Drosophila melanogaster: one gene and its partner. The protein of the gene in region 1 interacts with the protein of each later gene in a pairwise test. Each region holds a gene or a part of one and is shown in the gene's direction. Other genes may lie near its edges.

Region 1 (5,002 bases):
AAGGCCAAAAGGCAGGGGATCCCAGTTGTTGTTTTCATTTAAAGGGATTTAAAAATTCAAAGGGCAATTGTCACACACACAAGTGCATAGAATCGGCGAGAGCGGCAGAAGGACATGCAGAAAGAGTGGGCCAAACAAGAAAGAAACTCGTCTTTTGCATCGCTCTAACGGCCTCTTCTTATTGTTTACTTCACTTTTGTTATTACGTGAAGTTGCTGCTGTTTTTGTTGCATTTAAGCACATGCAATATACACTAAAAGAAAATCAGGATTTTCTTCACAAATATAAACATAGATTTACAATTGAATCGAAATGTTTTGTAGAAGTATCGTTATGTTTACTCTTGAGATCCCTAGAATTATATGTAACTTTGGTTTTAAACTGAACGTTTTAAGCTGAATCCTTAGAATTTTATTTATTTTTTAAATAAATATAAAGTTGAATCATTTTTTTCGAGTACTTCTGTGAGTTGGTGAGCAGGGAGAGTACATTCAAGACCCGTTGTCCGCTACATGAGCTATTCTATGGACACTCGACGTCTCTGCCGTGCGACGTTGATTCTATGCTAAATACGAGCAGAACAATGATAATGTCGCATGGTAAATTACATGTAATTATGTATTTTACCAACATTTCCCCATTTCACTGGCGACTCCTCCCCAGCCCAGACACTTTTTCGAGCACTGCTCTTTGCAACATTACCTCAGAACACCGTCGTCCTGTCGCTCGCTGTCCCTGTCACCGCTGTCGACACGAGAAAGTATGTTAATAACGCAAAAAGAGGAGTAATAACGAGGAGAAAAGAGTGCAATAATAGGGAGATACACCTTAAATTGCATCCTTTTTGTTGTCCTGTTTGGATTTAGTTCCAGGGCTACAATTAACGCAAGGCAATTGGCAGCAGGAGAAGCAAAGCTTCTCATGCAATTAATGGTATGTAGCTTATACAAAACATTTCATATTAGTGAAACTAAGTAATAATAACTTCAAAGGTTGTTGCTTTTATCTGACCCTTTTTCACAGTGTTTAGCATATAAGTGTGCTTACAATTGTTGAAAAGCTATTGCTGCTTTATCCTAGTTAGATATTATATTGTTAGATTAGTTTTAAAAGTTAATATTTTATGACCACTTGGACGCAAGGATGGATTCAGATGAAAAAGAATAGAAAATATTAACATCAGCTGGCTGTTCTTAACATTTGCCTTGTCCTGCAACGTATAACAGTTTTCAGGGCATGCCATAAAAATACTGGTATTTTCGAGTGACGAGGCGCAAAAGGACATTTCTGAAGGTTCTATTTAAAGCGACAAGTGGTACGGAAAATCATTATAAAAGCTCTGACTAAATTGGAAACTGAATTTTTACATGTAGATATTACGATTTTAATTTAAAGATATAACATTATATTTTTATTTAAATTATAAATCAGAAAACAAGCCTTGGCAGTCAATTTCAAATGTGGCTGGCGCTTTCGAAAAGCCTGTGCTCTCGGCTGCTCGGATTCTGCGCTCTGTGGCGACGGGAGCCGAAAGGACCTGAAAGGACGAGGCTTGCGACTTGTGAATGGCGCCTGGAGCGAGGAAACGAGCCAGTTGGGATGGCGAGAGGGACGGAGAGAGGGCCGGAGAGCAAGGATTCAGCAAGGAGCAGGCGGCGCGAGTGAGAGCGAGCCATTCGTGAATATTTCATGAACGATGGCTGCGATGGCAGCCAGCTTCGTGCCGCCGTTAACCGAACTCCTCGCCGCCGAAGAGAAATGTAGGGAAACGCATCCCGTCGTCGTCATCGACGGCAGAGGCAGCAGCAGCAGCGGCGACAGCGATTTTCACAGCAGCAGCGACAGCGGGAAAATCGGCAGCCTTTCTGCCGTCGTTGCAGTGGCAGCAGCGCCTCCGAATTTTGGCCAATGCGTGTGCTCCTGGCGTTCAGTAAGAAAAGCGTCGCCCAGCGGTCTAGTACGAACGTATACCGAACGCTTTGTATATCCTGTAAATTATATCCTGTGTGTGCGATTGATCACGTCGGCCTGGTTCGTGCGTAGTTCGAAACATAGACTTCACACCTTGCCTTGCCGTAGTGGCAAATTATTCTGGGCTTTGGGCTAGAACCTATTATTTTTTAAAGATCACTCAATCTTAACCTATACACGACATTTATTAAGCTGGTCTTATCACGCACTTGGAGTCAGTGACTTCTAAAGTTGCCAGCAAATTCGCGCGCGACAAAAACTCAGAGGCTGCCGGCAAAATAATAATTGCCATTGCAGCCAGCTACTTGAAACTTTCCCAGCGACTTTGAACCGGCTGAGCAGGGCTTCACTTTTTTGTTTGGCATTTTCCCCTGTTATTTTCTCACATATTTTCATTTTTTTTTTTTTTTTCATATTTTCGTTTTCTTTTTTGGCCTGACATTTTACATACCAGACATTGATATTAAAACAGAAGACGTCTGGCAGGCAGAGAACTGAACTCGTAGTACTACTCGCATGACAGGAATATTTATAATTTCCGCTGCCAGCAGACACAACAGAAAAGAAAGAATAATTTGCGATTACTGGCAGGCAGAAGGCGAAGGAAATCCCTGAAACGATATTACAAGCCAAGTGCGCTTGAGTTCGTGTATTTCCGGTTGAACAAACACATAAGCGAAACATAAAAGAAAGGCGAAAAAAATATACTTACATATTTTCCACATGCCCCCATACTTACGTCGATATATATATATATACATATATGTAGTACATAAATAGAGTAACCAGCCAGCACGAAAAGTGAAAATACATAGAGGCGAAGCAAGGCGAGAGCATATTTCATAAGTTTGCACTCCGCACACATAGAAAGTAGAAAGCAGCGACGAGAGCCAGAGAAAGCTGGCGACAAAGGCTAACGCACGACCTTTGGCACCGAGTTCAGATCCTGCGGAGGAGTCAGCAGCAAATCAATAAAGACAAAGACTCCCAGCCAGAGCAACTGCATCACCAGCCAACCCAGCTTCGCTTCCCGAGTCCAGCGACCAAAATTCACTCGCAAATTATGCTGACCATGTCGACCCTGATGATGCCAGCACCGACCATAGCCATGGGTGCCCCGCAGATCACAATGGGTCCGCACAAGCCGCCGGAAACGAAGCTGTTGGCCATCCATCCCGCTGCAGCGGCCGCAGCAGCCGCCCAGCAGCAGCAGCAGTCGGTGACAGCTGCTCATTTGCAGCACAATGGCCAACAGCAGCACTCGCAGCAGCAACAGCAACAGCAAATGTCGCAACAGCAACAGCAGCAGCAGCAGCAGCTCGTGGGCAACAACTCCAAGCCAGGTGAGTGGAAAAGCGAGTTTCCCGGGGTGAATGTCCTTTTCGTCCCGTTTCGGTTCTCGGTCTTGGTCTCGGTTTCGTTTTCGATTTCGGTTTCGGCGCAATTTCCACCGGCAAAAGGTGTTGCATAAATTGAGAAATGTCTCTGCCACTTTGCCCCTGAGACGTGTTTCGAATGCGGCAGACAACGATCTGCGTTTTGTTCTGGGGGGTACTATTCGCATCAACAACTGGAATAAATTTTCAATAGACAACGATTTCATTCAGCGACTAAACTTGTGTTTATTTGCAATATCAAAACTTAATTAAATGCATCATAACGGACTGGGCTGCAACCAAATAACCCAATTTTCTTTCTGATATTGGGAATGAAGGCAAATCTATGAAAATTGACAAATATTTTTGCCTAATTTATTGAAATGTCTATATGAAAACTCTGGGAAATGCAAACCGTTTAATATCATGTAAAGACCAATAAATCAAGTATTATTCTCAACAAAAAAAAAAACAAAAACGCCATCATAGTCATTTGCAATTCTAAACGTATTCAGATTGGGCTTCAGTTAGGATTTAATTGAATGAATTTTATTTTGCGATATAATTGCATTTCATTTTCAGCCAAGGATTTGTGCAGGCTTAAAAAGTTAGCAAATCATTCAAACACGGCCATGGCAAAAAATAATTTATCCTATTAGTTGTATCCTAATGAAATGCTGTTTGTGCTAAAATGTGTTCTATTTGTCAAATTTGTGCATTTATCTTAAAGAGCAATAAATTAGAGTATGCAAAATAACACAATATGCTACATATTATATATAATAATAAAATGCGAAACTTTAAAATAAACTAGAATTCAAGTGCAGCAAAAACTTCAAGCAAAAGCTCAGTTAACAACAACCTCTAGAGAAATAACAACAGCTTACGTATTCACAACAATGTCTGAACAATTACAATTCAAACCAAAAAACACCCCAGGCGATCGATATCAGGGCACGATAACGTACATATTTATAGAAATTTTGTATGCGTCAGATGGCCAAAATCATACTGGCAACACATTCAATTAAACGTGGCCCAGTCAGTCGGAAGTCAAGGAGGCAGATTTCGAAAATACCAATAGAGCACACGTATCACTTTCGGGCAGTTTTAAATGAGTAAAATTCCAAGGGGCCAAATTCGCACACGTAATCCGAAAAATAACAAACTCGAACACGCATTTCAGAGATGAATTATTGTGGACACCACCCCTCTGGGCTGAAAATGTCAAGCGTAGGCATTACAAGCATAAATATCAGTTACAATTTTCATATTTTTAACCACAAATGAAAAATTTGATACAGCTTGGGCAGGCAGGGGAAATTGCATGCCCGTAGAGATTTACAACTTAAAAACAACTTAAGCCGAAACTTGGAAACAAAGGCAGCAGCGATAGAGACAGAAACTGGGACTATTCTCCAATTTGTTGGCTCTACCAGCCCCGGCCCCAACAACACCCCTAAGTCCCTCAAACCGACAACGGTTGCTAATGGCAAAAACTATACACAAATAGACACTGGCAGGCATAAAACCGGAAACAACGGCACAGGAAGCTGCATGAAAATGAAACGAGGAAAAGCGGCCAGGCAAACCAGCCGGCCTGACTTTGGGCTGTAATGAAAAATGGAAAATGTCTACTACTACGACTGGGACGA
Region 2 (4,958 bases), on another chromosome or scaffold:
TCACAGTAGTTTTACTTTCTGTGTACATGCTAATTTGATACCCCGCACCCATGGGAAGCAGCTTGAGGTTTTTCCGCGGCATTAGTGCATTTTCGAAATTGCTCGAGTGTGACGCATGCAGATCTCAATCTCGACCACGGGCTTTTCGTCGCCAGCGAGTGTCCCTCCCCTTGGAAGGCAATCTCACTTATGTCATTCATTTGACGCTAATTCGACATTTACAGAAAGTATTTGCTCGAGGAAGATAACCAGAAGTGCAAGCAAATGATTCATAATTGATTCTATTTTGACAATAATTGGGAAGACAGCACTGTAGGAAAAAGGGGGCAATATGATCATATTCCAAATAATATGAATATTGATCATTTTAATTTCAAATTGTGTATATTCTTAGTAATCATATTGTATGTATGGCTTTTCCATTTGGGAAAATCCGTATGAGTTATATTTTATTCCTAAGAATTCGTGTTGCATTCAAAATTGCTGAAACAGAAATAGCTGCAAAAAATCTTGATTTGTTCGTGCCAATTGTTACATTGCTTTAATATTTTAATCTTTAGTAAATGTGGGCAATCCATCGAGATGATCTTCAGCGCTTGTATCTATTAGATACACTTAATTTTCCATCTTTAGGGGCAATGACTCATCCCAGTACGAGTTTCATTTAGATAGTGCGATTTCGATCAATGGAGATACGAAATTCTATTTCTCTTTGTGTGCCGAGCGTTGTGGAAATACATTTAAATACGGAACAACGTGAGGTTAATTGTGCGGAGCACACTTGTTAATTAGGGAATGTCAGCGGGCGCGACAGTTGGCGCTCCCCTCACCCCTTCCCAACCCACCGAAATCCGAAAATAATGCTTCCAAGCCACGTTTTCATTGGATTACGTAAGCTGTAAACCAGTTTATGATGTTGTTGTTGTTACTGTTGTTGCCAGTGTGTGTCAAGGAAAAGCTAAACACAATTACAACGCCCTTCTGTCTGGTAATTAAAAACGGAAGCCATGCCCGAAGCCATAGTAGGCTGGCTAACGAGACCTGCACATCGGCCCAAACTGGTTGGCTTTGGCTTTAGGCCACTTTCGAGGAAAATCCGCCCACGACGAGCCGAAAACCGCAAAACACGTCCGCCAGTGGAAATCGCATCGAAAGTTTTGCGGTTTCGAGCCATTTTTCCATTAACTCGAAATTCTAGAAGATCAATTCAAATCAATGTTCATGTGAGATTTTCCTTATGAATACCTGTATTTTTATATACCGAGATACGTATGTACAAACAATCTTATCCTACAATTTCCTGTTTTTGAGGCAGCTTTATCTTATAAAAACTGTTCGAAACAAAATTATAATTTCCATATACATATCTTCAACGTGAGGTTTTTGCTCCCTTTTTTCTGTTCTTAATTTTCCTATTGGCCAGGCAATAGTGCATTTGCATAAATAAAACATTTATTGGTAGTAAAAGTTAAACAAATATGTACGTAATTCCCGAAACATTTCAAATTTGCATAAATAAACAAACGCGATTGGTAACAGAGAGCGGAAAAACAAGTTACAGTAATTACCGTTGGGAGGGGGTGACGAAACAAACCAAAACAAAACGAATTATGCTCGTGTGAGTGTGCGCGACGCAACAGGTTGAGGCTGCTTGGCGCAGCTTTTGACCGATCAGTTTAGTTCAGTTAGCATTGTCAACTGCTCACGAACGGTTCGAAAAGCGGAGCGCGCGTAAAATCATTCTGTAAATCATTCAAAAGGCGGAAAACTCAAGGTGTGTGTGTGGGTTTTGTTTTCAAATTCCGTGTGCTTGTGTGTGTGAGAGAGGGCGAGAGCGACAGTGTCGTAGCAGGCAGTGTTGTAAGGTGCCGAAACAGCGATCCCAACCGGCACACTAGTTGTCCTGCTCGCACTCCAGTGAGGCAAATGTCAAAGTCTGGTCAGTAGCAAAACAGAATTGCAGCCAAGAAAAGCGGAATCAGCGACAAAATTAGCCATTAGTTGGGTTTTACATATAGATTAGGCCAGCGAAACGACATAACGCTCCAAGTGGTAAAGTGAGACCTGCCAGTGGCGGCACCCAACCCGAAAAAGCCTAACCAGCGACCACTTTCCAGTTATCCAATGGAGGCGGCCAAGGATTTTGCGGTGGCCAAGTACCAGGACTTATGTAACTTCCTGGAGCGGGATACGCGCGGCAGTGAGCTGGCCATCTATGGCACCTCGGCCATCATGCTGGCCGTGGCCTATGCCAAACGGAAGCCGGCCTACCTGGTGCGCCAGTTTAAGCAGCCCTCGCACATCCCGGAGCGCCTGATCAACGAGCGCGTCATGCACACGGGCAAGATCGCCGGGGTCAAGCAGCAGGAGCAGGACACCCTGCTGATGATCCAGCACCGGCCGCTTTTCCCGATCTTCACTAGCAGCAAACGCCTGCTGCCCGTCAAACTGCCGGGCGTGCGCGTCAATGCCAACGGCTACTCCTGGCTGCAGCAGTGTCTCATTGGGCGCGAGGCCACCTTTCTGCCCCTTAAATCCGCCAAGGGACAGGACTTTGTTGTCTGCCAGCTGTGCCTGGTCCATCCGCCGAGGGGCAACCGCCTGCTGGACGTCTCGGAGACCCTGCTCAAGCTCCGCTTCGCCCGATTCGTGCAGGATGCCGCCGCCGCGGTTAAGAAGAACGGGAAGTACTACCAGCATCTGAAGAAGGTGGAGCAGACCACAGCGGAAAAGGAGGCCTGGCTCTCCTGGGCCGCCGGCTATCCCTACATCTGGCGCCGCTACAACGAACTGAGGCAGCGCTGGTTGCCCAAGGAGAAGCTGCTGCCGGAGCTAGTGCGCTGATTGCGATCTCCCCGTTCCTGCCTCGATGCTATTTACAGGGCTACCTAGCTCGCCACCATTAACTTAGTTCCATGGCCAGCTACTCTCTATATTTTTATTATGCCTGTTTACTAGCTTGTGCATTTGTGTCTTAGTGTTGCTTGCTATCTATTGTTATACGATTGGCAAATATCATATACGATATAAGACAGCATTTGTTTACAAACCCTCGAGCACAAGTACACAAGTCAGTCTCAAAAGCTTATTAGTAAGGGGAATAGCTAGCGCGACTTGCCCAACGCGACTTTCGATGCCCAGGCGGTACGTGATCGTGTGCTAATTTCCACACCCAGTAGAGCCAAGAACGTCAGCATTTTTTAAATATTCAAATAAGCGAAATGTTTTTACCACGGATGACATCAGTGCGTGTGCCTGTGTGTGTACGTGTGCGTGTTTCCCAAATAAAATGCCGAAATACCTAACTTTTCACGCTTGTATCTGAATTTCTTAATTCCATTCCATTTTTTTCGTCTCCCGAACGATCAGTTGCAGTTCTTCATCCATCTCCACCAGCAATCTCTGGCAAAACTCAGGCAAAATGAGCTGCGGAATCTCCATGGTTAAATATATCCTATTTATATTTAATTTGCTCTGTTCGGTGAGTAGCATAGATACATTTAAGATTACATAATTTCGAGCGGCCAAGCTTAGATCGACTTCTCAGCCTTTTAGGCTGGCAGTGAGATCATAACTTTCGTGCGGAATAAACTGGTTTTCCCAAAATTGGTGTTTTCAGTATTGAAAGGCTGAGAAAGTCGAGGCCCACAAAAGTGGTGAGCATGAGTACATTTTAAAGCCACAGAAGGCACTCTCGTTAAATGCATTTTTGTATTTTTGTGTTCTTTAGGTCGGCTTTCATATTTACATATCATGAAATTAAACATATCTCAATTAATGTTTATTAAGGACCCTTAAAGTAGGATCTATTATAGCATTTATGGTGTCTCTTTTCCGGTCAGCACTATCACTTTCCGGTTACGAAACGCACTGTACGTGCAAAGTGGGGGCAGAGCTTGAGATCATCATCAGTATTCCAAAACCAGTTATTAAAATTGGGCTACGTTTGTGACGTAGCGGTATCCGAAAAATTCTGTATAATTTTGTGTACACTACGTACACTTTTGTTTACTTTGGAGTCCCAAAACCAGTTTGTGTTGTTTCGGTCCCCACAACCGAGCCCCACATCCACAAACATGCATCCCATTAGTCGGAGTCAGTCCGAGGTTAACTGGTTCCAAATGGCAACCAAACAATCATTGAAACGCCAGCAACGGTGGCATTTCGATATGGTTTTGCAACTTCTAACTCACTGCCCCAAAGTCACTGCACCGCCAGGTGGAACTGTACTTCGTCCAACCAGTTTGGGGCTGGGACCCTGACTTGCTGCTGGTGGGAAATCTGACTGCGTCGGAGTACCAGCGCATTATTCGCGTCACGCAAACATGGATGTCATTCACTACGGGCGGAAAAACATCAGCACACGGCGCTAATTCTTCAATCGTATGCAGTATACGGATATAGAAAATTTACAAAACAAAACCATTTTTTGTTGATGGGAAATCGGTAAACGAGATGGATGACCTATCTACTTGAAATAGGTCATTTGATTTGTTCAAGAGTTCCAATCCGCAGTTCTCCAACCTTTTTGATAATTTAAAGTAGCTGCAATTAACTTAAGAACCAACATGGAAACATACAAATATTTTGTCTGTGTGTAAAGTCTGCCGCCACTTCAGTGGAAAGTTGTGTAATGGTTCAAGAGGGGGGGGGGGGGGGGGAAGGGGGTCTCACCCAAAAATAGTTGACTTAATTTAATGTGAACTTGCTCCCATTGTGAGACGACGAGCCAAAACTCGGAAACAACGAAATATCATCTACACACGCACATCATGGAATGGAAACACGGGGGTCGTTGGCGGTACACTTGAACTCAATTTTCCGAGGGAGGGCGATCTAGAAATGCCAGACGAATGCGAGTGGGTGGACTGGTTATTATTATAATTGTGGACCAGTGTCGAAATGTCGCTCTCTTCTGATCGGATGCGATGCTAACTATTCTGATCCCACGAACCGCT

Evidence for each region.
Region 2: the proteins of CG34354 (region 1) and Tsp42Ea interact in a two-hybrid assay, tested with the Drosophila melanogaster proteins (one large-scale study listed by BioGRID).

Annotation. Positions count from the first base shown.
Region 1 is NT_033777.3:28,144,938-28,149,939, forward strand, and holds the start of CG34354 (uncharacterized protein), read left to right. Parts: upstream 1-1,942; 5' UTR 1,943-1,990; exon of another isoform or gene 1,991-2,031; intron 2,032-2,562; 5' UTR 2,563-3,034; coding exon 3,035-3,314; intron 3,315-5,002.
Region 2 is NT_033778.4:6,991,004-6,995,961, forward strand, and holds the start of Tsp42Ea (tetraspanin 42Ea), read left to right. Parts: upstream 1-1,672; 5' UTR 1,673-1,774; exon of another isoform or gene 1,775-2,057; intron 2,058-2,117; exon of another isoform or gene 2,118-2,124; coding exon of another isoform or gene 2,125-2,844; exon of another isoform or gene 2,845-3,303; intron 3,304-3,369; 5' UTR 3,370-3,421; coding exon 3,422-3,481; intron 3,482-4,958. Other genes in the region: CG30159 (uncharacterized protein), read left to right, coding at 2,125-2,844.